Caenorhabditis elegans: one gene and its partner. The protein of the gene in region 1 interacts with the protein of each later gene in a pairwise test. Each region holds a gene or a part of one and is shown in the gene's direction. Other genes may lie near its edges. The genes, in order: nhr-66 and nhr-49.

Evidence for each region.
Region 2: the proteins of nhr-66 (region 1) and nhr-49 interact in a two-hybrid assay, tested with the Caenorhabditis elegans proteins (3 studies listed by BioGRID).

The regions. Positions count from the first base shown.
Region 1 is NC_003282.8:8,227,992-8,242,540, reverse strand, and holds the start of nhr-66 (Nuclear hormone receptor family member nhr-66), read left to right. Parts: upstream 1-5,958; 5' UTR 5,959-5,963; coding exon 5,964-6,032; intron 6,033-6,337; coding exon 6,338-6,506; intron 6,507-6,631; coding exon 6,632-6,716; intron 6,717-7,526; exon of another isoform or gene 7,527-10,704; coding exon 10,705-11,018; exon of another isoform or gene 11,019-13,186; coding exon of another isoform or gene 13,187-13,208; coding exon 13,209-13,292; intron 13,293-13,472; coding exon 13,473-13,546; intron 13,547-13,605; coding exon 13,606-13,756; intron 13,757-14,022; coding exon 14,023-14,094; intron 14,095-14,149; coding exon 14,150-14,502; intron 14,503-14,549. Other genes in the region: T09A12.8 (AraC family transcriptional regulator), read left to right, coding at 889-996. UniProt on the Caenorhabditis elegans protein: Transcription factor. Binds to regulatory elements and regulates transcription of target genes, including the potassium channel accessory subunit mps-2. Negatively regulates transcription of mps-2, thereby modulating age-dependent memory decline.
Region 2 is NC_003279.8:9,863,337-9,879,947, forward strand, and holds nhr-49 (Nuclear hormone receptor family member nhr-49), read left to right. Parts: upstream 1-6,381; coding exon 6,382-6,451; coding exon of another isoform or gene 6,452-6,455; intron 6,456-7,891; coding exon 7,892-7,989; intron 7,990-8,575; coding exon 8,576-8,717; intron 8,718-9,357; coding exon 9,358-9,713; intron 9,714-9,762; coding exon 9,763-10,326; intron 10,327-10,374; coding exon 10,375-10,485; intron 10,486-10,623; coding exon 10,624-10,788; downstream 10,789-16,611. Other genes in the region: K10C3.5 (Elongation factor-like 1), read left to right, coding at 263-304, 496-598, 649-1,739, 2,501-3,046, 3,926-4,492, 5,259-5,594; inx-20 (Innexin), read left to right, coding at 13,192-13,268, 13,632-13,746, 13,790-13,877, 13,916-14,001, 14,107-14,357, 14,406-14,502, 14,566-14,772, 14,823-14,999 and 3 more; Nuclear hormone receptor family member nhr-69, read right to left, coding at 16,054-16,122, 16,394-16,492, 16,538-16,611.

The DNA.
Region 1 (14,549 bases):
TTTTGACTCGGACCTAAATTTAAAAGAGCTCTGTCAAACAACACCATAGTTCGCTTCTAACATCATTTGACCTATGATTTTCTACCGAGTCGGAGATTTTCCGACAACGCGGCAACGATAGGATCTACCGTCGGATATTTCTTACGAACGTCCTGCTGGAACATTGGCTACAAACTATACTGGTAAACTTCCCTCAAATTCCTCAATCACGATACTCGTTCGCCACTAAATCAATATTTTGTGTTGGTTTTCAGGCGTGTCGGCATTTTAAGCTTTTGCATGAAATCATATAGAGGTGTGCTATTGATAACTGCATTTTGCTAAGTCAGTGACAAATTGTAACTATCAAAAAAGTGAATGAAATGAAAAATGAGGAAATCTCAAAACATCAAACACCGCACTTCACATCAAAATAGACAATCCGGCAAAGGGCAATATGCCAGAAACCGTACCCCTTTATTTTGGAAGTCTCCCTATAAAGTTTTTTGCAGTTTCCGACAGATGTACATAGCTCGCTGAAAAAACACAAACTTTACACACATTTAAACATCTCATGCTAATGTTTCTCAAATCCAAAGAAAAATGATAGATCCAGACGAAAAGTTAATCGTTGTCCTGCCATCGAATCTAAATTTGTGTACCGTATATCTAGAATCCACTTGATACCAATGACTTTTACAAGATGTTCTCCTAGGAAAAAAGTAGTTTCCTGTAAACGCGCTCAAATACGAAGCCTCTTAATAACCTGATTTTCGTAGTTTCCATCGAAAAGATTCATATCGGTCGGATGTCTATAGTAAGAAATTTCGGGCGTGTGAAGAAGAAAAGAAGGAAAGATATCTTTTGATCAGTGTTCTAAATGAGACATGAGGCTTTTTCACTTTTTAGGCGAAGATACAACGTCATCGTCTGGCATGTGTCTCTGGATGTTCGGTTCGTTGTGACATGGTAACACGGAGAAGGCAAAGACCAGCAGGACCTTTTTTGTGTCTGTAATATGAGTGGCTGAATGAAAAGAGAGGGGGACGGGGGTCTTCCATGTCCTCCCTCGTTCTTCCTCCTTATCAAATGCCTCCATCTTTTCTTGTTACCTTGACGCGAGGAAGGTTCTCACTACAACCTCAAGTGACTGTCTTTCTCGCCCTGTTATAATACCCCCTTCCCTGTCTCTTTTTTCTTTCAGTATTCCTCGTTTATAGAATTCAAAACATTTCTAATTTTTGCGACCTCAACTTTGACAGCTTATGTTTCAGTTTTGGGGTTACCTATACAAAAATCTAAACTGACAATCTATTTGTTATTTCTTTTTCATTCGATTCGCAGTTGATTACTTATTGATATCTCTAAAATTAACTGAAATTTAACTTTCTAAAATGAAGTAGTACAATACTATCGAAGGAAATACTGTATACACAAGAACAAACTGAAAATTCTATAAGTTCACTTCATCTCGAAACAAACTACATGATTCATGAAATCAAAAGCCTAACCACGAGAAAGTGATTTGATTTTCTTGCAGATTTTTGATTCACGACAAATGATTTGAAGGGCCACTTGTTTTAATGAACAATCACAAGATGATGTGACCTTTTATGTGTCGTTGTGTCTAGTATCATTTTATCAGTTTTGCCTGTGTTGAATTTCTAAAACAAACAGTTGAAGGTACAACAAAAAAGAGATTTTTAAGTTTAAAATGTAAAAGTTGAAATTTAAAATCCAAATAAATTTCTAACAGAAAATTTGGAAAAAAGCTTAAATCAAAAAATGTCTGTGAATACAATTGCTCTCATAATTAATTAATTCGGTATTTTGCTCTAGATTCATACTCATCTTCAAATTGGCTATTTTGCTTTTCATTTACTCTTTCTTTTCAATTTTAAATTAAAAACCCGATTCGATAAATCTCCGCATTCTGACCTTGTTTCGTTGTGTGCCCTTTTACGGTTCTGCATAGATACTTTTATTGTAAATTTCCTATCGTTCAGAATCGATTATAATTTCTATCAGTAATTTGTTAAGGATTTTGTTAATTATTTATGTTTATTTATCCTTCTGGTTGGTCAAAAAGGATTTTAATGTTAAAACGTTGCGTTAACATAAGCAACATATCGCAAATTGATTTTCAATAGTTTTCTCTTATCTCAAATGATATTGAAGCTTTTTAAATCTTAAGATAAATTAATGATACAAATATTATCAAAAGTCCAAATTTTTCACACGTCATGAAAATGTTTTTTGTAAGAAATATTTATCGTTGTCCTCTTTCAAGCTATGAGATGACGAACAAGTTTGTGGCCAAGTTTTCCACTGCTCATCTAAAAAATCAAATAACTTTCAAAAAGTATATATTTTATCTTATATGTTAATAAATATCATTAATTTTCTTTTCAACTTTTCAAATGATAAAACTTTCTCCAAAACCGACTCATAAAATAACTCCGTTACCCAATAAAATGTACCGAGTGTCCAGGTCCACCAAAAAGATCCTATTTTTCGGGTATCTTATCTATGTTATTATTCCATCTTTTCCGATTTTATAATAAGGTGAAAACAGTCAATATAATAAAGAAATAGGGTATATTCATAATTACATCCTATTATTTCTTCAAACTTTTCATCCTTATTTTCTTATCATTCATTTGATCTATATGTATTACCGCCCATCTATCTAGGCTTCACCTCATGAAATAATATTCTTGTTTCTTTAACTGCACTTATACAATCATATACACACATACGCCCATACAGTTATCGTGTTTTGTAGCAGTTTCGACGTATTGAATGAGAGATAGTCAAATATTGAGCATGTTGTAGTTTGTACACAGCTTTTCATCACAGACATCAACTTTCTCAAGTTTGCAAACAAAAACAATAAGTTTAAAATGTAAATAAGAAAACTACATTCAATTTCCAAGAAGCTCCGCCTATTTTGCTGCACTCGTTCTATTGGACAAACTTGATACACAGACTCCGAATAAATCTTTCTATCTTCTTTGTCAAACGAAAGTTTATACTTTGAAGGTAGTTTTTTTTAATATTTCAACCTAGATATCTTCTCGGCATTTTTCTAGTCTTTGGCTTTTATGGGGTACTTCTCTGCAGGCTCCAGGCGTGGGACTCTAATTTTTGGTAATTATGAAGTGTAGATTTACTAGGTCTTGCACGCGGATTAATTTTTACCATATACGTTTTACTGCAAAATTAGGCTGTTGTGTTTTTAAAGCTTCCCGAATGTGACCGAATGGGAAAAATTACATGTAATCTCTACATATAGTTTCAAATTGAAAGCAAACCGGTTAGAATATGCACTCAACGTAGGTACGACTTTGCAATCATGTCTAGTTTCTAGGCAACCTTACGTACCTACTTTCAATGTACATACATAAACATTTTTCATTCTTTCTCAACAAGAGATGGGTAAATCTTAAGCTTTCCACTTGGTTAAAAATAATTAAGACACACCGTTGGGAAAAAATGATTTGAAAAACCCCTTTAAGAATCTTCTTTTTAGAATAATTTGTTTATTTTTTTAATGTTCTAGCCTAAAAACTAAACATACTTTCAATCTGATCTACTTTAGAATTAATTTTTTTGAGTGTACATTAGTAGATTAGACTGGTCTCTAGAATATTTTCTATAACAATTTTTTTAAACACTTTCTCTTGTAATTTTCTTTTCGGTTTTTTTCAACGATTCGAAGATGTTCGATCGGTTGTCCGAATTCCGTGTTGATTGTTGTCTAGTCTTAGAATATCCTTCCCGCCTTTCAATCCATATCTCATTCATCTGTCTTGTATGGTTCAATATTTCAAACATGGAACCTCTGATTCTTACATCGCCCGATTTGAAGAGATTTTTAATACTCAAAAATTCAAGATTTTATGTTTTTACGAATCCTTCTGAATCACTTTCTTAAAACCGTACAATTGACATTGTCTTTTGTTTTTTCTCGTTTGGTTTTCTTGATTCGTCATGATTCGTTTCAAATACAAAACCGTCTCTTGCTTGCTACCAACCGTTTGTCCCATTTTTGTTTTTTATGATGAAAGCGAATTTTATACAGTATGATGCCTCTTTTTTCGAATATTGTAGGAAATTTTGTTGGATACTTGAATTGATTTTTAATAGAAAGTTTTCAATTGTTCATGTTCAAATCAATTATAAACAAAAGGCTTGGACCAAAGATAACTACTTCCTATGTTTTAAATTGAAACCAATAATCAAAATGAAGGCGATAATTGATTTTTTATTTTTATTTTCCGGATTTCGAGCGAGACTCAACTCTCAAACTCAAACTCGCGTCATTAAGATAAACGAGCATCTACACTTTTGGTTGCAAAAACTGCAAAAAAATTTTTTTTTAAACTATTTCCCAATTGATAATGCTTTCAAGTACATTTAAATGAACGTCTTCAAATATCAGCAAGCAAATTACAGTAACATTTCAATTCATGTTTATTTAGTTATACCAGAAAAAGTGCACCTGCCATTTACGCACTGTTTTATGGATTGAATCCATGACTTCTAGGCAGGTAGGCATGAAGTCCGAAATCTTGCTGCTGACTTGAATGAATCCCTAAACGAAAGCTGTCAAATACTTGAAAGAACACATTTGTATTCTTTTTTAATGTGCTTCTCGGAAAATTTTGATTTTTAAATGTTTTCTGCTACACTACGAAAATTTTCATAATATTCGCTAAATTTGCACGTGTTCAGTGAGCCTAACAACGCGACATGTCTACAAATATCTAGACACGAATGTATTTCTAACATTTGAATTTTTCAACTTCTTATGAGAGAAAGTCTTATGAGAAAAATCAAACGATGAACAGCTGAAGCATAACAGAAAATAAAAACATTTTTTCATTTCGACTATAGTTATAATTATTTACCCACAATGCCTGATTTCTCGAATTTTCATATTTTTTGTTCTTCTCTAAAATCTCTAACAATAGCCAAAATGTAGTCTGTTTTAAAGTTATTATGCGAGAAGCTGTGCACATATCCCATCTCGAGCCCCTTTTGTATGCACACTGCTGAGCATCAGAACGGACGGTATGCTGCACATCCCTCGTGACTGCGTATAATATCCACCCGATTTTTGTGTGATTAGCTGCAGAATATCGTATATCGAGGCGCGTTTTCCATTTGTGGCGATAATGCACATTTTTACTGTTGAATTCTCTTTTGAGGCTCCATAAACCACAAATAATGCGACGATCGTGTATTACAAATGTTCGACAACTGTGATTTCTCTGATTTCATCTTACTGTAGAAATAATTTCAAACTTCGCGCACAAATGGATTTCACCAGAGCGCACTTGCTGTATTCTTCGGTAGCAAATTTTTTCCAGCGAAAAGCATTTCGAAAAGCCTGTAAGCTTTCGTGAAATGAGATAATTTTTCGTGAAAAACGTTTCTACAATTTTTATCAATTTATTTATTTCAACATCTTCAAAAACATGTTACGTTCTTAAAAAAATACCTTTTAAAATTTACTATTAGCGAAAAATTGCTGAAAATTTTTGTTTTCTAAGATTATTTTTGTCCCGATGGTGTCGTCGTCACAACATCTCATACATATATACAGATAAAGAATAAAAGCGAATCCATTAGATTGGCGCATTTGATTTCTCGTTCAATCCGTCCTTTTTCTGCTGATCTTTCACGTGTCTCCTGCCGGCGGCCCCGCCCATTTTCTCATACTTTCAATTTTCAAGGTCCTTTTGTCAGTTCAGTATTCTAATTTTCCTCGTTCCTCGATGGCCTTCCGGTTACCTTGCTCTTGTTACAAAGCTCTCGCGAGCAAACTTCAGCCCGCCTCTTTTTTGAGAACTCGACTTGTGCTCGCCTGCTCTCTGTTGAGCTCAATTTATTCATTATTCTGATCGCAATTTTGTTTCGAATTAATAAAATTAGAAACGTCAACTATTTTCAGATTTCTTTCAGACATCTTCTATGGAATGCCGCCAATCAATGAGCCCACAGCGACGACAACATCAGCATCGTCGGTGTGGCAAGGAATGACACAGGTTTGCATAAAAATTGAATTTTATAAAGTTTAATATCAAATTTCCTATTAATATTAAATAGAATTCTATAAAATTTTATGCTTACAATAAAAAAATTGATTTTTTAAATTGTATCGTAGTCTCTGGCACAACGCAGGTAAATCGTTGCGAGACCAAGCCTTCCTTTGAACCATTTTCTTCAACAAATTGTTTCTTTTTTGTGGTTCCCTGCGCGCACAAATTGTATTTTTTTTAGTCGAAAAACTTGTTTCTTTGAAGAATTCATGAAATTTAATAATTAATTCAATAAAATATTTTATTTTCAGTTAAAATCTCAAGTCGACTTGATCAATATCGCTCGAGGAATTCTCTCAACCCCCGCAACAACATCAACATCATGTCTTGACATCCAGAATTCGACACCGATCATCGGTTCGTTGGCCTCCGGGAAATCCCAGACGCCAATTCTCACAGCGACAATGACTCCACAAATCGGTACGGTAGATTGTTATTGTCAATCAAGAAAAATGGGGGAGAAATGCGCGGGAGAAATTGAGTCGTAGTTCGCGTAAACAATTGTTGTTTTCTCTGAAATATTAATCAATCATGCTCGTTTTAAGGACTCACTGGGCTTGGTTCGTTGACATCGTTGCCTCCAGAACTTCTACTACAGTTCGCTAGACTGGACGGATTCAACTTATTACCGTGAGTTTTTTTTTCTTTTGAAAATTCAAAATTTTGCCGAAAATAGGCAGTTTTTTGTATGGAAAAAAAATTGCAATTGGAATTCAAAAAGAAATAATCAAAAAGTTGAACCTTCCGAATTAAATTTGAATTTTGATCTTTCATTATTATCTTCGCTCAAAGTCTTGTGCTTTGATCCATATCTTTCCTCCTGCTCTGTGACTTTGTACTTTTCATCTGTCTGATTTCTGCTTGACAACGCTGGAGTGTCTGATAAATCTAATCAAGCTGAGCAGCGCTATTTTCTTAAAAAATGTGATGTTACATACAGAAGAGACATAGAGTACATTGCTAATTCATAAGTTTAGAATAAAGAAACTCAAAATCAAAGAACAAAGTCAAATAATCCTTCATAATTTTAGTTGGTTGCCCTTGTCATTGGGAGCAGACTTCTCATATATATATATAAATGTGCATGCGCGACAACGGAAATGCAAGTAAAAGAGCATTGAAACAAAGATCCGTTGTATGTTGCATGACACATGAGTAGTGGAGAGTGTGGGAGAAAGGTGCAGAGTACAGCTGACTGGCATGCTCCTGTCGTTGAAATGTGTAGAAATGAAGGGATTTCTGTGCTGCAACGTTCCAGAGATACTTGTTGTAAGAAAGCTTCATTGTAATCATCTTTTCTCGACTAGACTGAAGTTTATATGTGCACCTGAAGCAGCTCTATTTTACAATTTGCAACTCACTTTTCTATGATTTCTAAATTAGTCGATGTGATTTTTCAATTATAAGATCAACGGGAACAAGTGGTGCAACATTATATTCAAGTTTTAACGGATTTATATAGCAACTTAATCAAGCTATTATATAAAAAGTCGAACACCAAATTGTTAGGTCTTCCGTCCATCGTTTAAAGCCCGAAGTCCTTCATCCATCCCCAATTGTCCGTTCCGCCTGACCATCGAAACAGCTTTGCAGCGCTCAATGACAGCAGATGCGCTTCAAAACAAACCGATAATAGGAGGAAAATTGAAGGGGTCAGAAATAACCCGCCTTGGTAGATCGGCTCCGTTTATAATTCCTTCCAAGCTAGCCGGCTCTCCGTTATTACTTCTTTGCCTCTTCCGTATATCCGAAACAGGTGGAAACTCTCGTCTCATTACCAACTCGTCGACTTTCTCTTTACTAAAGCTTTCCTCCTCTGACCCATCTTGTGCTTAACTGCATAATTTGAAATTCCCAGACTGCATGAGAACTTTTGCGTTGATGAGTCTCGTCTCTTTTTCTGCAAGGAAAAAAACCACAGAGAACCACACACAACGAGAAAGTTCAAAGGCTCAATGTATCATTTTACGTATTTCTCCTTTCTTTTCTTTCGCTAGCGCACACTTCAACATCCAAAAGCGCCACGTGTTTGTGTTTCGGGAAAACAGAAAACTGTGTGCTATAGCAAACTCAATACCCCATCACCGGAAACTTTCCGGTTTATCATCGCTTTTTGCGGTTTTTCTTTCGTGCGCCTGCCTGCTTGCAAAATACCACAAACTCATGTGTTATCGGTGTTGGCCTACAACATTTTCTATCATCATTTCGATGTTTATATAAAGATTTTTTCAAAAAGAAATGCATAGATCAGGATCGTGTTGATTCCAAAATGGAACTAGCAGGCTTTTGTCGTACTTTAGAACCTGGCTTATTGCCAAAATATTTCTATTCAAGTTGACAGCCGTTTGCTTTCGATTATTGTTCCGATGATCCCCATTTCGCCCTATTAAATGTTCAACATCTATTTGACAAACTCTAAAGACTACAAACTACGGGCATCTAGAATAAAGACGTTATCACTTGTTCTATTGTCCAGAAACTGTCATGTGAATATCTTATAAATCTCGTTGATCTTCAGTGGAAAAGCTGAATGAGACTAGTGTGTTAGAATATTGAAGTGATCTACATTAGATTGTTAAAATCTGCTGAAAGCCTACAATTACACATTTCAAAGCAGTTGAAATTAATTTCGCCAGTTTTATTTTGAATGGTGTTCATCGTGTAATCATTCGGATCGTTAGATCAAAACGATCAATTTCAGCGAATAGTCATGATAAAATGGTGACTTAGAGTTATCAGTTTGTGTTTATACTATAAACAACCGTTTGTGCATACGCAAAAATCGACTTTCGACTGTTTTAACTTCTTGTACAAAGATCGGGTTCACGAGGTGGCCAACCGTTTGTATTTTTTCGTAGAAATGACCTACAAACTAATAAGTATTCACGGACTCTTCTTCACTCCTGTGCGTAGTGTCCTTAGAGTGTTTGTCAATCCCTCGGTTTCCACCTTGTCCGCCTGACAGATCACTGGTGAGGGAAAGTGGCAGAGGGCAGTCGGAGAACAAGATAAAAGACGATGAAAAGAAAAAGAAAATTTCACCCATTTCGGTGTTCCTTTTCTTCTTCAATTTTTCCGAATGTTCCTTTATATTGATTCAAACAGCAAGAATTTCACGTGTTTAAGGAAAATGATAGTCAGCTTTTCCATAACCCAAACAGGTGTTAATCAATAAGATTCCCAAGCATTTATAGAGTTTTAATAAATTCTACATGCAAAAATTCGGACGGACGGCGGAGAAAATTCCCTACCTACCAATTTTCGTACTTATAGGATCACTGCTACGATTACGTTATTTTTACGTTTGCAAAACTTTATTTTGATGATACACCGGGTGATTATGTTTTGGTTTGAATAGATGAGGCTTAAGTGTGTTTTGAAACTAGACATTAGTTTCTGAAAAACACATCAGGTGGCAAAAAGTGCTTGGTACTTTACTTCAGTTCTGCCTGGCACCGATTTCAACCTTTGCACGATGTATAAAAGAAGAAGCCTTCTGTCCAAAAGTTCACCTTCCTACTTCCTTGCAAACATTTTCGCAATTTGCATTTGAATCGCCCCAGTCCTTCCTCGCGATTCGACCTCATTTACGCTAAAGATAGAATCATACATGACGGAAAGCCACGAGGCGCGCTTTTTCCAAGAGAAATCGAGAATGAAACAAATAAACGACAATGATGGTGTTGTTGCTAGGCACCTACACTACTTTCTCAACGTGTTTGTCCTCTGGCAACTTTTCTGCATAAAGTCTTCCTGTTGTCCACTTCCAAAAGAGATGGAGAAAAGTGTAAGAGAACGAGAAAGAGAGAGAGAGAGAAACACATGAGTGTGTCGCCACCACAAGACGACGTTGAAGCGAGTACGTGTGATGCTGGTAATGCCTGTGTCTCCATTTCCCTCTTCACGTATGCTTCATTTCCATCATCACGAAATTCAACAACGCCTCGAATTTCATAGATCCTCCAGTTTCTTCCGTTTCCTAGCTGTTTTCCGTTAATTTTATACCACCCAGTGCGGTGGTTTCTTGTTCATTTCATCCTTATTTGACTTGCTTCTTCTTCTTCTTCTTGATCTATGAAGTCATAAAACCGTAGTAAGATTGTGTATAACGATTAGGTGTCCTCTCTTCCATTCATTCAGTTTTTCCCGACAACGTCACCCACTCTCCAAAATGGATGTCCGCATTGTTGATGGAAGAAAGAAGACAAGTTTTTGATGCAAAAACTGACCATTTCTTGTTGTTTTTCTCTCATTTACAATGCTTCATCTTTTAATCATTTTAAAAAACTGTGTTTTCATTCAATAATTTTATCAATGATCTTATCGGTCAAAGATTTGTTTGCAAAAGTTTGTATTGAAATGTTTTTCTCTTTTTTGCAAGTTTTTTCGAATAAAAACCTCGATTCAAGTAGATTTTCATTTAGCAATTCTATAGTTATTGGAAGTTTTCTTTGATCTTGAATTCTTTTTTATATCAATTACAATTTTTCTATATGAAATCACAACTTTTCAAAAAGTTTAATAGTACTGAAAAAATCAATTTATGACTTCTAGTAACCGTAACTCGATTTGCGAAATATTCCATATTAAATAATTACCGTAATTTTTGTTTTTTTAGAGCGGTGGGCTCACCGGCGATCCCATCATCGTCATCGTGCTCCGAGCCGTCAACATCACAAGCATCTACAGTAGTTTCAGCTCCAACTCTTCCACCACCATCACCATTAACATCGCTGCCACAAAAGCCCGCCCCTTTGATGCCATCAGGTCATGTCACAACTGTAGATCAACAGAATCGACAGCAGCATCAGCAGCAGCAGAGGCAACAACAACAGGCTCAGCAACAAAATTCGATGGCTCGAAAATATTCAATGGATACGATACAGCATCACACAATGCAGCATCCACATCAGTTGCAATATATTCCAAATCGTGAGTTTTTTTTATTTGCAAACTATTTAAAATGAGAACCTTTTCAAAAAAAGTAAACTTTTTTTGGAAAATGATTCCGGTGGTGATGATGAAGATTTTTATCTATTTATAAAAACATTTTTTGAGCTCATGATTAAATCGAAATCCATATTTGGATCATATCTAATAACTTTCAATGAAGTATCTGACATAATTATTCCCTATAGAAACAAAAAGTGTATGCCTTCCTACCGACCGAGTACCTATTGCAAAATGCACACGTTACCATTTTTGAATTTCTTATTTGAATTTTCAACAAAATATCTGAGAATATCAAAAACCAAAAATTTATACCATAGTAAAACAAATAGGCAGGTACGTAGGCAGGTAGGCATTATGCAATCTCGAACACCCGAAGCCTCTCTAACTAGCTTAAAACTACATAGTTGCTTTTGAAAATTAAGGAAATCAGATTTTTTGCTCATGGCTTAATGGGGGTTCTGCTTCAAAAAATCCAAAATAGTCTGGAATTCAGAATTAACACAAAAAAAATCGGGAAAAAACCCAACTTTAAAAAACGTTATTTTTCAATTTTAATAAAAATTTCCCTGTTTGTATTTCCTCCAAAATGAGAATCCACGCCCATTTTCGAACTCCGCACACTCCGTCTGATTGGTGGAGAAGTGGGCGTCGTTCATTTCTTGCAGTTAATTTTTGGAGGAAATTCAAAGTGGAATTATAAAAATTTGCGTTCTTTAAAGTTTAATTTTTCATTCTTTCTCGATTTTTATTCTAAGACAATTTTGGGGTTTTTTGGAGCAAAAACGCCATTCACGCTCCACCTTTAAAGCATTTTGCTTCTTTCTTTTGGAACTTTTTTCTAAACGTTAAGTAAGTATTAGTTAGCTTTCGTACATTTGATTATAATCCCACTAGATTTGATCAGTCTGACCACATAAAAGAAACGATGCTCATGCTCAATGATCAACGTCAGAATGTTTGAACACTGTTGAGCTAACAGGGGAACCGCTAGACATAGGCTTCGTATATTTTCTTGTGTTTGGTCAAAGATCATAACACACGTGTATTTTATTCTAAAGTTGAATTTGATAGATGAACAGAGATTGGGAACAAAGTATGTGATTAGTGATAAGATCGTTGGGATTAGAGATTGAACTTGCACCGACGAAAAGAAATTACACTGGTGACGTTTTGGAGTCTAGACGAAAATATATTTTGATTTCTGCTGAAATGCTGTTTGAAAGTGCGAGAGAGATTTTTAGCAGAAAAGAAAAATGATATTTTGATTTTCTCCAAAAACGTTATAGGCTACAAGTTGAATGTGGCGACAATAACTATTTAATCTGCTTTTATTCTAATTTTGATATACTCGAGAGCATACAAGTGGTTTCATCTGATAATGTTGATCATGAAATATTATGTTAAGAAAATTATTTGGTTACTGAAAAAACTGAACAACATTTTCAAATTTGCACTAAATGTTTTCTACGTATCAGAAGAGGGGAACCCTATGATACTTTGATCTATGTCTCTCGCTGTCTCATCTTTTGCATTAAGTAGGTCTATGCCCTCCTCCTCCTCCTCCTCCTCCTAAACCTCCATATCGTACTCTAGTTTCATATTGGAATACCTGTGATGTCATTACATTTCGTCTCATACCTTTTATATTACGTCGCTCTCTCAATTTGAAACACTGTTTCCCTGGTATATTTTCAATGTAACGCCCTCTGTCCGCCCGACTCCTCGCGCGCTTCACCGCCACGCTCCTTACAACTGTTTGCTCAACTGATCACAGTTTGTTTAATGCTCGGTTCCCTTCACCGAGCGGACTGTGTCTCGGAGAGAGCAAAATAACAGAAACTCTTACCGTCTGCGTCTGCGATTCGCTCCCATCTCTTGCGTTCCACACAACTGCCACCCTCACGGGCCACTCTCTTACTCTCTCAGTCTCTACGTACTTCTCTATATAGTTCTCATCTATCTATATAGTTGTCTCTACCAGCATACCATCATCATCATCACTGTCATCATCAAAACCACCATCATCATTGCCATTGTACATTCAACACGCTTCGATTTATGTTTTAGAAACGTTCAAAAAATATTTGTTCTTTTTTTTCAAGAAAAATCCGAGAAAAAATCAAATAAAGATCAAAATATTAACTGTAATGGACGTGATTCGTCTTCTAGACTTCATGACTGCCTCAACTGATGTGTTCGCAGCAATGGATATGAGTCAGAAACAGTCATCACCTCCTGGAATATTTAAAATTGGTGAGTCTTTTTTAGTTTTCTGTAGGAAATTTCAGTTTTAAAAAAATCAGAGAGAAAAAATAGCAATTTTCGTGAATTTTCAAGCAATTCTTGCTCACTTTCGACCATTGGTCTGTCTCAATGTTAATTTCTTATCACTTCCCGCCGTCTTCTGACTATTCTATATTTACATTTCTCCAGTTGCAGCCAAGAACGAGCCGAGCAGCTCATCGAATTCGCAACCTGGCACACCGGCAATGGGTGATCGACGAGCGGTAAGTTCAAAATAAAAGTTTCTCCAAATTTTTTTAAAAATCTTTTTTTTTCAATTCAGGTTCCTGCTTGCGCCATTTGTGGTACAGATTCGACGGGTATTCATTTCGGAGTGGACGCGTGTGCCGCGTGTTCGGCGTTCTTCCGACGAACAGTTGTTCTCAATAAAGACTATTCATGTAACAAGGGAGGAAAATGTACAGTAGTCAAAGGTATGTACTTTGTTTCATTGTCGATGTACACATAACCAAACAATTGGTACCAGCAAGAGTTTATTATTGGGTTCTCCATAGAAAATGCACTTGAAAAGTTATCGTGTGATGGGTGAAGCAATGTGTTTTGTGATTGAACTTTGATACAATTTTGCACCTTTTCCGGTTTCTGTTTTACACTAGAACACGTCCCAAAAGAAGCTTTTAGGTGTAGTCAATCTAAAAATTCTTACTTTCGTTTAAAATCTAATAATTTAAATTTTCAGATGGATCAGCTGGTCAAAAATGCAGAGCATGTCGATTTCGTAAATGTATCAGTTCAGGAATGGATAAAAACTGTAAGTTTTTTTAAATTGTCATTCATTTTGCACATCAATGACTATGTTTTTTCAGCTGTTCAACATCGTCGTGATGCTATCGGAAAGTATTCGGCAGGTGTAAAACGAGAGCTGAGCCCCGATGCGGAATTCGAACCATCAGCTAAAGTGTCGACAGTTAGTGAACCGAGCACATCGTCGGGACCATCTGGAGGTTTCAATCAAAATGTTTCATCTCCGGCTGGAATTCCAAGAGTTCCAAGTACACTCCGAACAACACAAGCATCGACTTGTATGAACTCAGCATGTGGTCAGAAATCCGTTCTTCATGAGCTCATTTGTCGACAAAATTTTCTAACGGAACAACGACAACTTTTTTATGCTGGATGCTTAGGCGATTGGTTTCGGAAACCATCGTCTATTGAGAATGTATGTTTTAATAGCATTTTTAAATTTAAAACAATTTTCAATATTTC
Region 2 (16,611 bases), on another chromosome or scaffold:
TTGAAAACCTCCTGCATGCCTCTACAGTTCTCCCTTTTTCTCTGTTTCTCCATCTCAAAAACTGTATTTCTTTTTTTCTCCAAATTATGAATTATATTGCAAAAACCCTCACGAAAGATCAAAAACATCATAAAATCAAATAAAAATTAATAATTAAATGTTTTCAATATTGTTACTCTAGATCTCTGGAGTATTCAAAATTCTCGCATATTTCTTAAATTGCTATTACAGATTTTCAGATATTTTATTTCAGACTGACGCAATGGAAAGCCTTGAAACAGCTTTAAAACAGGCAGCGGCAACGGTGAGGACTTTTTTAGATTAAAATTTTTATAATAAAAAAAAAAGAATTTAACCGACGATTTTTAAGTTTCCTCACATTTTTTTATACGTTGATGAGTAAAAAAACGTAAGTATACATATAAATGTATTTAAAAAAAAAGGAAAATGACCAAAATTTAAAGCTATTTTGAAAATTTATGTAAAAAATTGCAGAAACCCGCTGAGCATATCCGAAATGTCTGTCTTGTCGCTCACGTGGATCATGGAAAAACCAGTTTTGCAGATTCTCTGGTTTCAGCCAATGCTGTTATTTCTAGTAAAAACTTTAAAAATGTCTAACTCGACAACGATTATCTAAATTTTCAGGTCGAATGGCGGGAAAATTACGTTATATGGACAGTCGAGAAGATGAACAAACACGTGGAATTACTATGAAATCCAGTGGAATCAGTTTGCTCTGTGAGCCACTTCTCATCAATCTCATTGATAGTCCGGGACACGTGGATTTTTCTGGAGAAGTGACGTCAGCATTGATTCTTTCCGATATTGCACTTCTGTTGATTGATGTTATTGAAGGAATTTGCTCACAAACAGAAGCTCTTATTCGTCAAGTTATCAGAAATGGTCAAGCAATGATTCTTGTTATCAATAAAATCGATCGATTGAGAGTTGAACTGAAAATGTCGTCAAGTGAAGCATATCAACATATGTCTCGTCTTATTGAAGGAGTCAATAGTTGCATTAGTCAGGTTCTTGGAGGAATTGTATTAGAAGATGATACATGGGGAAATATCGAAGAATCGGAAGCAAAACTTCATTTTGATCCTGCAAAAGGAAATGTTATTTTCTCATCAGCACTTCATTCATACGCTTTTGGATGCGAAGACTTTGCTCAAATAGCTGCTGAAAAAATGAAAGTAGAAAAATCGGCATTACTTCCTGCAATGTTCGGAGATTTTTGGATTGATTCGACTGGGTCTATCAGAGATGGAGCAGCAGTTAAGAATAAGGCAACACTGTTCGAAAGAATCGTTTTAGAACCACTTTGGAGAATTCACGATCTTGGACTTGTTGAAAATGATGCTACCAAGCTTGCCGAAGCTGCAAAAAAGCTTGGAATTAATTTAAAATCCAGAAGAGCCAATGAAGCTTTCGACGAACTTATGAGAACTTGGTTGCCACTTCCAAAAGCAAGTTTCAGAGCAGTAGCAAGAGCTCCAAATGTTAGATCAACATTTGATACTCAACATCGATTGGATCATCTGACAGGTCATCGTCTGGATCATCCATTAAGAAAATTCGTTCTCGAATGTAATCCTGAAGCAATGACACTGGTTTTTGTTGTGAAACTTCTTCAGACAGAAGACAAAAATCTCACTTCTCGTAGAGCAATTTGTCGTGTTCTCAGTGGGACACTGCGTAAAGGAGACACTTTATACGTCCTTCAACAACAAAATGTGAGTTTTATTTCTTAGAATATTCGAAGAATCGAAATTGGAATAATTTTGGGAAGAAAATTAGAAAAATTTACTGTTTTCATTTTATTTTTCCTCGAAATAAATTATTAGAGAATTAAAAAAAATTAATTTTTCGATTTTTCTAATTTAAAAAAATGTTGAAAAATATTATTCGCAAATTACAAGAATTAAAGATGTAGCAAATATATCTTGATTTTGATGTAAAAATAATTCAAAAAATTTCAATGAAAAAAATGAGCGGAAATTATTAAAATTCGAGTTTTTCTCTGAACGAAAAAGGAAACAATTTTTCCAAAAAAAAAAAGCTATGCCTACCAAGGTGTCACAAAAAAAATACAAAATTTTCTTTTTTTTTTGGTTTTCCAGAGTCAATAGAAAAATTGAAAAAAAGCATGTTCAGACAAGACTATGTTTTTTGTTTTAAAAAGGAACAACTTTTTATTGTTTTTCTTTTGGAAAATCGTTTGTTTCCCAAATTATCGGAAAATCAAAAAAAAAATAAAAAAAAATTGAAAAACGAACATTTTCGGTTTTCCGATATTTTAAAACCCAAATAAATTAAATTAATATTTAAAAAATAACATGTTAAATAGGTTCCTACAAACATTATCTCTAATAAAATAATTTTTGATTTTTTTTGAAGATTGTCTGATATTGGCATTTTTTTCGGAACCTGTTTGAAATTATGTCCTAAAAAAATCTTTCAAAATTGTTTTTAATTTGAAAAAATATTTTTTCAGAATAGCAGCGAAGTGACTTCTACAAAAATCGATCGAATTTCAATTCTTCGTGGTCGTGATTCAATTCCAACCGATACAGTAACATCAGGAATGATTTGTACTATTGATGCAGAAATTCTATTACAAAATACTACTCTCTGTGAGAAACCGGATTTCCCTTGTCTCAAAATTGGATCTCAAACTGGAGAAGCTTTGGTTAGAGTTTCGATCAGTACTCAACAATTGGATGATATGGACGATTTAAGAGAAAAATTGAAATTATTAGCTCTACTTGATACAAGTCTGAAAGTGATGGAATTGGAAAATGGAGAATTAGCAATGGTGACAGCTGGAGAAGTACATTTACAAAAATGTATCAAGGATTTAAATGATTTGGGACTTGTGGATTTAGATGTCTCTGAACCAATTGTTCCATTTATGGAGACTGTAATTGAAGATTCTGTACTCTCAGCACCACAAATTATTGAACAAGAGACCGAATGCCGTATTCGAGAAGCTTTATATATCAAATTGAGAGTTGTTCCATTGGGAGATGCCGTTGTCGAGGTTAGGACTTTTTTTTGAAATTTTTTGAATTGTAAAAACATAGTCTAAAATTAGGAAAATTATTTAGTACTTTTTAAAAAATTAAAAAATTGCGAAAAAAATTAATTCGGAAACATTTTTGAATTAAAAAATCGCATGATGGTTACTGTAACGCGACCAAATTTTCTTTTTTTGTTCTAATTTTCTTTGAAAATGAAAAAAAAACACTCCGCAAAATAAAAAATTTTTTAACCGGTATCGATTTTTCAGGAAAAATCGAAAAATCGAAAAACGAAAGTTCAAAAAATGAAACATCAGAAAACGTATAATTAAAAAAAGGTATAATTACCAATAAATAGTTTCGAGCTATTTTTCGAAAAATCAAAAAAAAAATCAAAATATCGGAAAAACCCGACACCCTTGGTTTTGAAAGGTTTCAAAGTTATCTAAAAAATTCGATAAAAATATAATAAATGGGAAAAAAGGAAGCAAAGCGGAATTTTGCCGAATTGAAATGAAATTATTGGAGAACATTTTTTTTAATTTAAAATTCTCAGGTTATTATGCATTTCAGAGAAATTTTATATGTATAATTTAAATCAAAATCCTCAACGAACTCGGCATTTCGTCACAACTTTTACACCAACTTTAGCAACTTAAGCGCCAATTTTAGCGTTTTGCAACTTATCCACCAATTTTAGCAACTTTTTAACCAAGTTTAGCCAATTCTAGAAAAATTTTCAGTGCAAATTTTGAGGGCATCCCCAACTTTAACCTATTTTGCCCAACTTTAGCAACTTTTTTACCAAAATTTAGCAACTTTTGCACTTGGCATTTCTAAAGTTGCTAAAGTTGGTGGATAAGTTGCGGCGATTTGCCGAGGAACCTTCAATTTTTCAGTTGCTCGACAAAAATTCTTCGTTAATTTCATCGATTCGTCGAGGAGAAGCCGATCAAACCGAAATTGATGAGTTCCAAAAAAGATTTACATCCGTTTGTCTGGAAACGCTTCCAACATTGAAAGGATCTTGGTGGTTTCGAAAACCGAAGGAAGTGATTGAATCAATGATTGATCAAATTTGGGCATTTGGACCAGAAAGAGCAAGAGCCAATATTCTATTCAATAATGTTCAAAATTATGATAGAGATTCCGTTTGGAGAAAAACAGAATTTGGTGTTAGAAGATATGATCAAGCACTTGTCGCTGGATTTGAATTATTCTGTAATACTGGACCACTTTGCAATGAAATTATGCACGGAATAGCAGTTATTGTTGAAGAATGGAATGTTGATGAAGAAGATGGAGCTATTGGAGGACAAATGATGACTGCAATAAAAGCTTCATGCTCTGCTGCTGCTAAAAAACTTGCACTCCGCCTTGTCGCTGCCATGTACCGGTGTACTGTAACTACAGCCAGTCAGGCATTGGGAAAAGTTCATGCCGTTTTGTCACAAAGAAAATCGAAAGTAGGAATGGAGAATTGTAGAACATTTTCAAATATAGTTAGAGATTATAAATTTAAATATTTATATCCATCAGGGCAGTAGATTTTTCGCTTTTTTGAAGAAAAAAAACGATTCTATTTTAAAAACCGAAAATCCTGATAACTGATAAATTTAAATTTTACATGTTTTCAAAAAAAAAAAACACTAGAAAATTTAGAAAGAGTGCGATTTCGATGAAAATATTCAAGTTTTCAAAATAAAATTTCAAATTTACAAAAAATTAATTTTTAATTTTTTTTCCGAAAAAAAAATCCGAAATATTCTGATATAGCTCTAAAAATGACACTCGAAATTATGAAAAGTTAAATTTTGACCAAAATATTTAAGTTTTTCAATATATAATTTCAAATTTACAAAACTTTCCTTTTTTTTCAATTTTTCGGCTTCGAAAATTTCCTTTTTTTTGTTTTCGAATATAAACCTGAAATCCATGTCAATATTTAATGTGATTTGCCCATTGAGCATGTGAACGAAGTATTTAATTTTTGTAATTTTCGACGCATCTGTGCAAATAACGTATATATGGAGAGAATATAATGAATGAATCTTCTTTCCAACTATAATCTAAATAGATTTTATGGTTTAGTGTGCCGATTAAACAAATAAATACGGTATATCCAATCTCATTTATATGAGCATTTTGTTTCAAAAATTTCGAATTTTGACTATTACTTTAATGGCGTTGTATAAATACTAAATTTTAAATAAAAAATAATTTTGAATTCAGGTACTCTCCGAGGACATCAATGAAGCTACAAATTTATTCGAAGTGGTCTCCCTAATGCCCGTCGTCGAATCGTTCTCTTTCTGTGATCAACTTCGCAAGTTCACATCTGGAATGGCTTCTGCTCAACTTCAATTTTCTCACTGGCAAGTCATTGACGAGGATCCTTACTGGACGCCGTCTACATTGGAAGAAATTGAAGAATTCGGATTGAAGGGAGACAGTCCGAATCATGCAAGAGGATATATGGATGCAGTTAGAAGACGTAAAGGACTGCCAACCGAGGACCTGATTGTGGAGTCGGCGGAGAAGCAGAGGAATTTGAAAAAGAATAAATAATTTTTTTTTAGTTTCGTGATATTTTTTGTTGTTTGAATTTCCGGTTTTGACACATTTTAATCTTGTTGATTGTTTTACTTGTTTTTTTTTGTTCGTTTTTTTCAAAGAAATAATTAAATTGAAATCATCAATTTGAACTTTTCGAAAATATTTGCTCCAAAAATGTTAACTTATCATATAAGGCATATCTGAAACATTTTAATTTCACTCGGTTAACACTGTTTCATTCACGTGTGGTGGTGTCAACGACCTGATGGGTATAGCGTAGTACGGGAGAGAGGGTCGAGAGGAACTTTCTTACAATCTTTCTCTACCTCTTTTCATCTATTCATCTCTAAAGGTCTGCGCCTCTCCTGTTATCGATTGTCAACGTGCTGTGGGTGGTTGGCTGTCGTTGTTTGGTGTCTCTGTCAACTCCATTCTCTCTAGTTTTTCATATTTCTCGACATGTTTGACCAACCACTGTCTCTTTTTTGTCCTTCTAACCGACTGGCCTGCCAGCTTTAGCTTCTTCTTCTTTTTCACCATTTTCTTTTCTTTTTTTTTCGTTTCCTTTCTGTTTGCCAGTAGTTCAGCTTTTTTCCACAATCAAAAGTTCATAGATTTAATGACTGACTTTAAATGAGACGACGCCGGTCCCAATTAGCTTTGAGAGTACAAAGTACGGGGCATCGAACAACACTGAACTACATAATGTAGTCTCTCACTTCCTGTTTATATGGGGTGATTCGCAAACTCCTTGTATATACTCATCATTTTGTTAGTCAACTCATTCCGTTCTCACGATATGGACTACTTTCTTGATGCTTCTAAACATATTCAGTTGAATCAAATTGATGAAGAATCTTCAGATGATTGTAAGTAAGTTTTATAACGGACACATCAAGCGACATTGAAAGAAAGTCAACTTTTAAAATATCGACTTTCATGCCTTTTTGAATTTTCCACCAAACTGAGAACTACAAAACCAATCAGCGACTTGCTCATTGAAATCCAGAAATTAATAGAATGATTTTTGGATGGCTTCTTTGCAAAGTCCACTATATGGGTATATATGGATTTTTATACGTTCAAATAATATGTACATTTTTGAGTTTATTAACCTGGCTCTTCTAAAAGTTCTAAAGTAATTCAAATGCCCTTTCTCTTAGAACGTCATTCTTCGATGTGTCTCCTCATTTTCTACCAGAATTTACCAAACCCTACAACTGGATCCTCGTCGGTCACTTATTCGATGCATTACATCTCCTCGCTCCTTAGATATAGATCTTACGATCTTGGAGAGAAAAGGAACGACACTACTTAGCGCGACCGTCTATCTTATTCGATCCGTCGGACAAGATTGATCAAGAAGACTTTGAAATAGCATCCGCATTTAAGAATACCTCATTGGAGTGAGCAGAGAGAGAGAAAGACTACTGGAATCTTGCCGAACACATCGACCAGTTTTAGAGTGTGCCACATCAGTCCTTTTCTGATCTTCGCGTTTCCTTTTGTTTGCTCAAGACGGATGATTTCTCAATCTTCTCTACTTTCGCTACAATAGCAACACGTTTAGTCCTACACTACATCTGCTAAACTGGGAGGCTCGAAATTTCCGAGCTATCAAGTTTCGGCTTGCCCTTTCAATGTTCAAATTTCTACTTTTATTGGACTCGATTAGGATACTTTATTGAAAAACATTCTACATGAGCTTCGGTCTTTTTGAATATACGTTCAAAATTGTTCTATATTCAGAAACAATAAATTGAAAGTACCAAGTTTGTCCTTCTAGCAGTGGAAATTCTAATTATATGCTGCTGAATTATCTCCACATCCTCACCAATAAGGTCTAATATAAAACCTACAATTTCTGAACGCGGCCCATTCATCTGCCTAGTGGTCAATGCATCTCAATTGTGTGCACTTGCCGGTCCTTTATTATTAAGACAACATGCGTTCCACTCCTAAAGACACCATTGAAACACTATGACGTCATAGTCGATTTGCAATAGATACGGCAAATCGTTTTTTTTAATCCACCGTATCGTCAGGACATTTTACATTAGGCTTATCAATACTTATATTAAATTTTGTCTTATTTCTTGTGTGTCTATCATGTGTTAAAGCCATTGCATTGACTCTGATTTCTCTACTCGTCTGACACTCTCTCTACCTCCAACACTATTTCATCGTTTCCATGAACAAGTGACATTCGTCGTTTCTCTTTCACTTTGAAAACTTGCGTTGCTATCTGTTGTTTGGTTTTTTTCGTGTTTCATTTGTTTTTTTTGTTGTAAAAAGTTTAATTGTTTCAGTCATGGACCTAGTAGATCCTCTTGCGGAACCATGTGCCGTTTGTGGTGACAAATCAACTGGAACCCATTATGGAGTCATTTCCTGCAACGGGTGTAAGGTGAGAAGGGATAAATTATAAAATAATAAAAAATAAATTATATTTAGAATTATGTGAAATTATAAATTCAGTTCTCGTCACGAAAAATGATTTTGGAAATTATATTTTTTCCTTTTTTGAAAAATGAAAAATCTCAGTTTTTGCCACTTTTGGAAGTCGTTGATCAAAAAAATTGTTTCCTTATAATTTTATGGACTACTTATGTTTCAAATATTAATAATCAAACACTATAGGGATTCGATAAGCGACAGGGCTATAGTTTTCTCAAAAAGTGGCAAAAACTGTAATTGCCAGTTTTTACTGTCAATAAAAATTTTCTAACTTTTTTTGTTAACTTTGGTACCACAGGAGTAGTTTTTAAAAAACAATTTCCTCACTTTAAAGCAAAGTAATATTGACTCCACCTACAGTAACCCACGCTTTTCGCGCATGCTTTATTTGAAAACATATTGTTCGTGACGAGACCGAGTACTGTACTTTATGGTTGCAAAAGTTCGTATTAATTTAACTGGTTTTTGAAAGTTATGATTATCATCTCGAACTTTTTAATGATTTATCCCGCATTAATAAAACTCATGAATTTCAGGGATTCTTCCGCCGAACAGTTCTTCGTGATCAGAAGTTCACTTGCCGTTTCAACAAAAGATGTGTGATTGACAAAAACTTTCGATGCGCGTGTCGTTATTGTCGCTTTCAAAAGTGTGTACAAGTTGGAATGAAACGAGAAGGTATTCATTTCTCTTTCCGTTCAATATTTGAATATATCCAAAACACAGTGGCCTCATGTTTTTCACCAGTGACCTCTTTTCAATTTCGTCCGTGAAATGAGATCGGCCGCAAAAAAGATTCTAACTTGAGATATTGATTCGGAAATTTGCCCCGTTAACTCAGAATTTAGAATATATTCTTCTTTCTTTCCTTTTCCTGTCCGTAGATTCCATTTCAAAACACGATATTTCTAAAAAAAAATTGTTTCGTAGTTTTCTATCTAGAAAAAATAATTTTGGAGCAAAATATCGTATCTAATTCTACATACGTTTAAAATTTGGATGTTTTTTCATGTTTAATTCGTTATTTTAAAGAAGAAATAGAGTCATAATGACAGAACATAACTGTTAAAAATTGTATTAAATTTTGAATGATTTCTTTTTTTTTAAATTTACCAAAAAATTATATTGAAACAAAGCCACAATAAACATTACCGAAAAACGCAAAAATGTCGAAAATATAGTAAACTATAATTATATTTCATTCATTTTCGTGGGAATTCAAAAATACAAATTTTAACAACTATTTTCTGTCATTCAGGTCCATGTTCTATCATCTGAATCACATCCACGATCAATTCTACAATTTAATATATTTCAGCTATTCAATTCGAACGTGATCCTGTAGGTTCACCAACATCTGGAGCCAGTCTCAACGGGACTCCATTCAAAAAAGACAGAAGCCCCGGATACGAGAACGGAAACAGCAACGGTGTCGGATCAAACGGTATGGGACAAGAGAATATGCGAACAGTTCCACAATCCAGCAGTGTCATTGATGCTTTAATGGAGATGGAGGCTCGTGTCAATCAAGAGATGTGTAATCGATACCGAAGATCGCAAATCTTTGCAAACGGCAGTGGGGGGTCGAATGGAAATGACACAGATATTCAACAAGGAAGTGATTCTGGAGCATCGGCATTTGCACCACCAAACCGGCCATGCACAACCGAGGTAGTGAGTTGGATGGTACGTAAATTAAGAGGTCACATTGTTTTATTTTCAGGATCTGAATGAAATCTCCAGGACAACACTTTTATTGATGGTTGAATGGGCAAAAACAATTAATCCATTCATGGATCTTTCGATGGAAGATAAGATCATTCTACTGAAAAACTATGCACCACAACATCTCATTTTGATGCCAGCATTTCGAAGTCCCGATACAACTCGAGTTTGTCTCTTCAACAATACTTATATGACACGTGACAATAACACTGACCTCAATGGATTTGCTGCATTCAAAACAAGCAATATAACACCCAGAGTTCTTGATGAAATTGTCTGGCCAATGCGACAACTTCAGATGAGAGAACAAGAATTTGTATGTTTGAAAGCACTTGCATTCTTGCACCCAGAAGCCAAAGGACTCTCGAATAGCTCACAGATTATGATTCGTGATGCTAGAAATCGTGTTTTGAAAGCTCTTTATGCATTCATTCTCGATCAGATGCCAGATGACGCACCCACAAGATATGGAAATATTTTGTTGTTGGCACCGGCTCTCAAGGCTCTGACTCAGCTGCTCATTGAGAATATGACACTTACAAAGTTCTTCGGATTGGCAGAGGTATGAAAGCTTTTCTTGTTTGAATCCGTACATAAATGATAGCTTCAGGTGGATTCTCTGCTCTCCGAGTTCATTCTCGACGACATCAATGATCATTCGACGGCTCCGGTCTCTTTACAGCAACATCTTTCATCTCCGACAACGTTACCGACTAATGGGGTTTGTTTTTAATTATTTTATTAAACTTTTTATTCTAAAAAAATACAAAAATAGCGAAAACGGCCAATGATTTCAGGGAAAAACCGTAAAATTCTCTTTTTAAAAAAGATCTTCCATTTCAAAATTCATATTTTTCAGGTATCTCCGTTAAATCCAGCCGGATCAGTGGGAAGTGTTTCGTCTGTTTCTGGAATTACACCAACTGGAATGCTCTCAGCAACTCTTGCAGCTCCATTGGCAATTCATCCTCTCCAATCACAAGATTCCATTTTGAACAGTGAGCAGAATAATCATATGCTCTAATAATTCCATTTTTTCTCCCAAAACTCTTCACCTCATCTCATCTCCAGTTCTATTCCGAATCTGTGATCTTTCATCTTTTCCCTTATTGTTGTTTTGAATCATTACCCCCAATTTATAAAATAGTCCAGAGCCCAGCTATAATGTACATAACAAAAGAAGAATACCCTTCCGTCTCAGTAGTTGTTTCATCTTGAAACCTGTCTAGGCCATCTCTATATCATATCAGGTTATTGTTCTCGTCTCCCCCAACTCTTCTTCCTTAATCTTTTTTCCAGACGGGCTGGCTCTCGTTTATTCTTGTGATTATTATTGTCAATCAAATTATCAGTTTAGTACTTCAATATGTATAAGAAGTGACTGTCTTGGCATTTCCCATCTCTATTTAGAAGATTCCCTTCTTCCCATTTTCCTTCCTTCTTTTCAAGCGTTCGTACCAATTTATGTTTGCAAAAAGAAACTTTTATTTATACTTTTTCAAAGCTCATCGATAAAATACATTATTATACCATATTTTATTATTCGTATCAAATAAACACAATTGACTCATCATTATGAATTCACTCGAGAAGTTCAATGCCACGTCCTCCACCACCTCCACCAAGACCGTAAGTTTTATTGCAATTTAGAAATTTAGAAGAATTTACAAAAAGTATTGTTTTCCAAATGTTTGAGCACCTGGTGTGAGCTGCTGGAGGTGAAGCTGAGCTTTTTAGTTTTTTTTTTCAAAATTAGATTTTTTTAAATTGTTTATTTCTCTAAAACTCTTCAAATTGATGATTTTTGTTTTGATTTCAATTGACACGATCATCTAAATGATAGTGGATATATGACCATTTCCCAAGACACTTGAGATCAATTCAATGATCCGAACAGTGTACATAACGGGGTAAAAGTGATGATATGTCTATTGGAAGAGGGAAGATGAAGAAATTGTGAGCATTTAGGCTTAGGTGGGTGAGTTCACACCTCTTGGAGCACATACACTTCAGCCAGTTTTGGACATTTTATTTAGTTTTTTTGGGTTGCTTGTTTTGGTTTTTTGATATTCTTTCCATTCTGAGACAAGAATTTGGTAACTAACAATTAGTAGTAGATTTCAAAACGGTCAACATTTTATCTTTCTTTAAGATCTGTTCTTAAAATCAAATGTGAACCTTTAAAAAGTACCGTAACAACTTGTTTCAGTTTTCAATCATTTTTAAGAGAAAATTCTATTAAGAACTTGAGAGAAATTTTCAAAAATTGAAGAAAAGGTTAACTTCGGGAAAGTTGGTTACTGTACTACTTAAAGGCGCACACATTTTTGTGGCTTCAATTTGGAATAAAATCCATCGTGGTGAGACCTAGGCATACATCATTACATGTCTATCAATTCACTTTTTTCTATACTCAATCTTTATTTGTTCCTAGACCTCAAAAGAAATTAATTTTTCAAGTTATAGAGAATATTGTAAATCCGTAAAAATGTAGGACAGTTAGCCCGAAAATATTTATTTAAGGTTCTAGTATTTGCGGGATTCATGTCTCAATATTTTTCACCAATACATAAAATTTGTGGCAGTATTACTGTAGAAGTTGACAGTATTACTGTAGTAGTTGTAGGGTTAACATCTGTATTACACACTGTGCAACTTTAACTATACGATGATCGTTTTCTGACCTACACTATTGAATTCATGACTGTCGTCCATAAAACAACAGTCAAAACTATCACATCATCTAATATATACAGAAATCATTCAAAAACTATTAAAAATCAGTTCAAACAAGTTTTCAAATATAGAACTGTAGACATGGCTTAATATTTGAATTGAGTCATTGTCCATCACTCATATATTCACTAAACATCAACATTGTGGATCTAGTCTTCAGAGTTTAGCAATTGTTTCAATTTTCAAGTAAATTCTATTAAAAGCAAAGCTTTCTCAATGTTCTCGCCCATGTCTTATCTGCGGATCTCAACAAAATCAGACATTTCTCATAGTTTAATTAACTGAGCGTTCAAATTTTGTATCATTGCGAGTCTATGTAACTATAGTCTTCTCGCGAAGATCTTTGAAATTTCAAAAAAAAATCTAAAAAATCTTGTGCAGCTCACCGAGTTCAAAAAAACTGTCGCATTCTCCCCATTTTTTACTCGAACTTGAATGATCTTGAGAGTACGCGTGAAACTGTGCAATCATGACAAAACGGTGGGAAAATCCACATTTCTGTTGGCACTTACTGCTGCCAACCTTGATTCCTCAAACATTCTTCGGAAACTATTCTTCAGTTTCTATTCTCACAAGTTATTGTAACCCAACTTTGGCTTATACAAACTGTAATTGAATACATCTACTATTCGGTGTGTATTGTTTTATTATTATTATTATGGAATAAGAGTTCTGTTTTCCCCCTCCACCGATGGACGCTCAAGCACTTCCCCAACATTCCGCTTCTTCTAATAAGACGGGTGGTTCACCTGGTGCACGTGTTCCAAGGTATCGAAAGTTGAAAGTTTGTTTTAAATTGCAATGGCAGGCAGGCCTGTTTTATTTCAGTTTTCCGCTAGTTCTGATATGATGTTCTCATAAATTTGCAGAAAATTATTACCAAAATTTAAAACACGACTGGAAGACAAGTTTTGACAATTGCCCTTTGTGGAGTATGTTTAGGATCAGTGGTTTTGGCGTTTTTGAAATTTCAAAACATAATTAAAACTCATACAAGTACTGTTTTAACTGTAATGGCCTGGTGAAATCATCAATTCATTAATGATCTCACTGTAAACTTCTTTCTAAATATTTCTGCATCTCCTGACTTTTGTGACTGTTAAAGTACCTCTTAAGATCCTATATTTTCAGAATGGTTTTCGCTGAAATAGTGGGAACTCTCTCATTCCTCCAACCACAAGCAGATGATGACATATTTGACAGATTACACTACTATTATACAACAACATTTTTGCTTTTAACTGCTGTGAGTGATAATTGAAGATTGTTTTATTGCAAAACTTTTTCAGGTTTTAATATCACTTAAAATGTTCGGAGGACGACCTATTGAATGCTGGCTTCCCGCAGAATACAAGAGTAGTTGGGAAGATTATACAGGTAATAAAAATAATCTAACAAATTAATATTTAATTCAGAAATGTACTGCTGGGCTCGGAACACATACGTTACTGCTTTTGAGGACGATAATCTTCCTGAAGTTGTTAACAGGGAGTATACCATGGTAAGTTCCACCTTATTTGGGAGCTTCACAATTTTTTGTATACCATCGCCAATAAAATTGAAAAATTACAATGTTCCATTCTTTCCTATAACCACAATTTTCCAGGTATCATATTATCAATGGGTGCCCTTCTTCCTTGTCTACGTGGCTTTCAGCTTCTATGCGCCATGCTTAATATGGCGACTTTTCTATGACAAATCAGGAATTCGACTCAAAGATATTATGGGATTTGCAAACGACAAAGCAAATGTGGTTCCAACTCAACGAACTGCAAATATTCGTGGACTTTCAGCTCATTTGTCATCCGTTTTTAAACATCGATTCAGAATTGGAGAGAAGCATCCCTACCATCATAAGTCTGTTTTTTTCTTGGAATTTATTATTTGGAAAATGGTAATTTTCAGGGTATTCCGAATTTTCAACGTTCGCTACTACGAATCATATCTGACCTACTTGTATCTAGCAATAAAATGCTTATTTCTGATGAATGTGCTGACTCAGGTAGACTTTTAATCTTTTTTTCCATTTTCAGCTGGCAACTCTTATATAAATTTACAATTCCAGATGTATTTCATGAGCAGATTCTTGGAACTTGACTCTCATCGATATTACGGTTATGGAATATTTTATGATTTGATAATGGGAAAAGGATGGAAAGAATCTTCAAATTTCCCCGTCGTAACATATTGTGATATGCAGATTAGAATACTTGGACATGTACAACGACATACTGTCCAGTGTGTTCTTGTTATCAATATTTTTACAGAAAAGGTAAATCAACATTAAAAACTTCTTCTAATGATAAAAACCGATATCTCCAGATATTTTTCATTCTATGGCTCTGGTACACCATGTTATCTCTAATTTCCTTTGGATCCATACTCTCATGGATTTTTGCATCAATTCCATTTAATCAACGAAGACAATTTATTGCTAGAAGACTAGAATTGGCTGATGTTAATTTCGAAAAAAGCCGATTCAAACAAGAACTTGATGAGGTAAGAGTGTTGGGAAAGGCTTCTATAGATAAAAATAAAATTACAGTTTGTTCGTGACTATATAAAAATCGATGGAATTTTCGTGTTACGAATGATTACAATACATTCTGGTATTCTTATGTGTACGGATATTGTTGATACAATGTGGGATCAGTTTTTACAAGAATCAGGTTAGTAGAACTTGAATTATATTCTTTTATAGGATATATTTTTAGGACATGCAACAATCAGAGAGATTTTGGAAGATAAAAGTTACGGTGACGACTATGATAGATCTGCTTCTGCTGGTGGTTTATCTATTGAACCAAGTAAGTTTTCAAGAACGTAGTGAATTACCTGACCAAGCGTACTAAGAATCATGCATTTTCTTCCACCGAACAATTTGGAATTACGCATTCTCGGTCTTTTTTTGTGATGGCTAGACCTAGATGTTCAGACTGATTATCATAAAGGTGCTCATCTAGTTAATGCAAATTTGTTCTGCCGTTTAAAAAAGTATGATCCGGTTAAAAAAGAGTCTCGCAAAATTTGAGTCAGTTTCAAAGAGAAACTATTTCCGAGAGGTGTTAGTATCATTCATAGCTTATGAAAAATAAATACATTTTAGACTTGTTCTCATTTGCCTGAATACTATGCACCCTTTTCAGGTCTGCGACGGAAAACATCAGTTTTGGTTCCTCTCATGAGTCGAGAAGATTTACATTTGGATCAATCTCCAACTACACCAGCTCCTCAATTCCTTCGACCTCCAAGCAGCCGAATGGCTTCAGCTGCGAATGTATAATAATTTCAATATTTTGTTGTTTTCCTGATACCGAATTAATTGTTGTTACAATTTCAAATATTTGCATGACATGAAATAATAATTATTAAAATAATAATAAAACCAACATAGAAAAAGGAAACAATGAGGTGGTTTGAGCAGGTAAGTAATGTGTCCGTTGGGACCCGATTTCTAGAAGTCAAAGTTTGGAAGTATTTAGATGGTTTGAGCAGGAAGGGAGGCAAGATGAGATTATGGTCTCTTGAATATAAAATATTGGAAAATTGGAAACTATTCTTCCAATTCAACTTCTGCTTTAACGGACGAGTTCACCGGTGATGCCAGACTCGTTTGTAATATCTGAAAACAAAAATTGTGAGATTGAAATTGTCTCTGGAACTTATTAGGGTCTTCCACAAAACCACCATAAGCTTAACAGTCACAAAGCACAAAAGAAATCCGCATATTTATTGACCTATTCTCCTTAGATAGACTAAACAAAATTTGTTGTGCATATTCCACATTTGGAAGAGTTTGAAATAAAATTCCCCGGGCTCAGGATTTAGGTTTTGAAAGTTGCCAATAACTAAGATATTCCTTTCATTGTTCTGCTTTTCAAAATAAAAATTACCTGTGGATCTGAAGGTTTCATATCATTTAGAATAAGTTCTTCCATTAACGAATCGACATTCACGAGACCGAACAAACGAGCAAGTTGGACATCTTCTACCTTTAAATTCATAAATTACTAATTTGAATAACAATTGTAACTAACCAATTGTTGAGCAATAGCCTGAAGTGATGGAAGTAATAACAAAAGCTTTCCACTTCTGCAATCCATTGATTCGT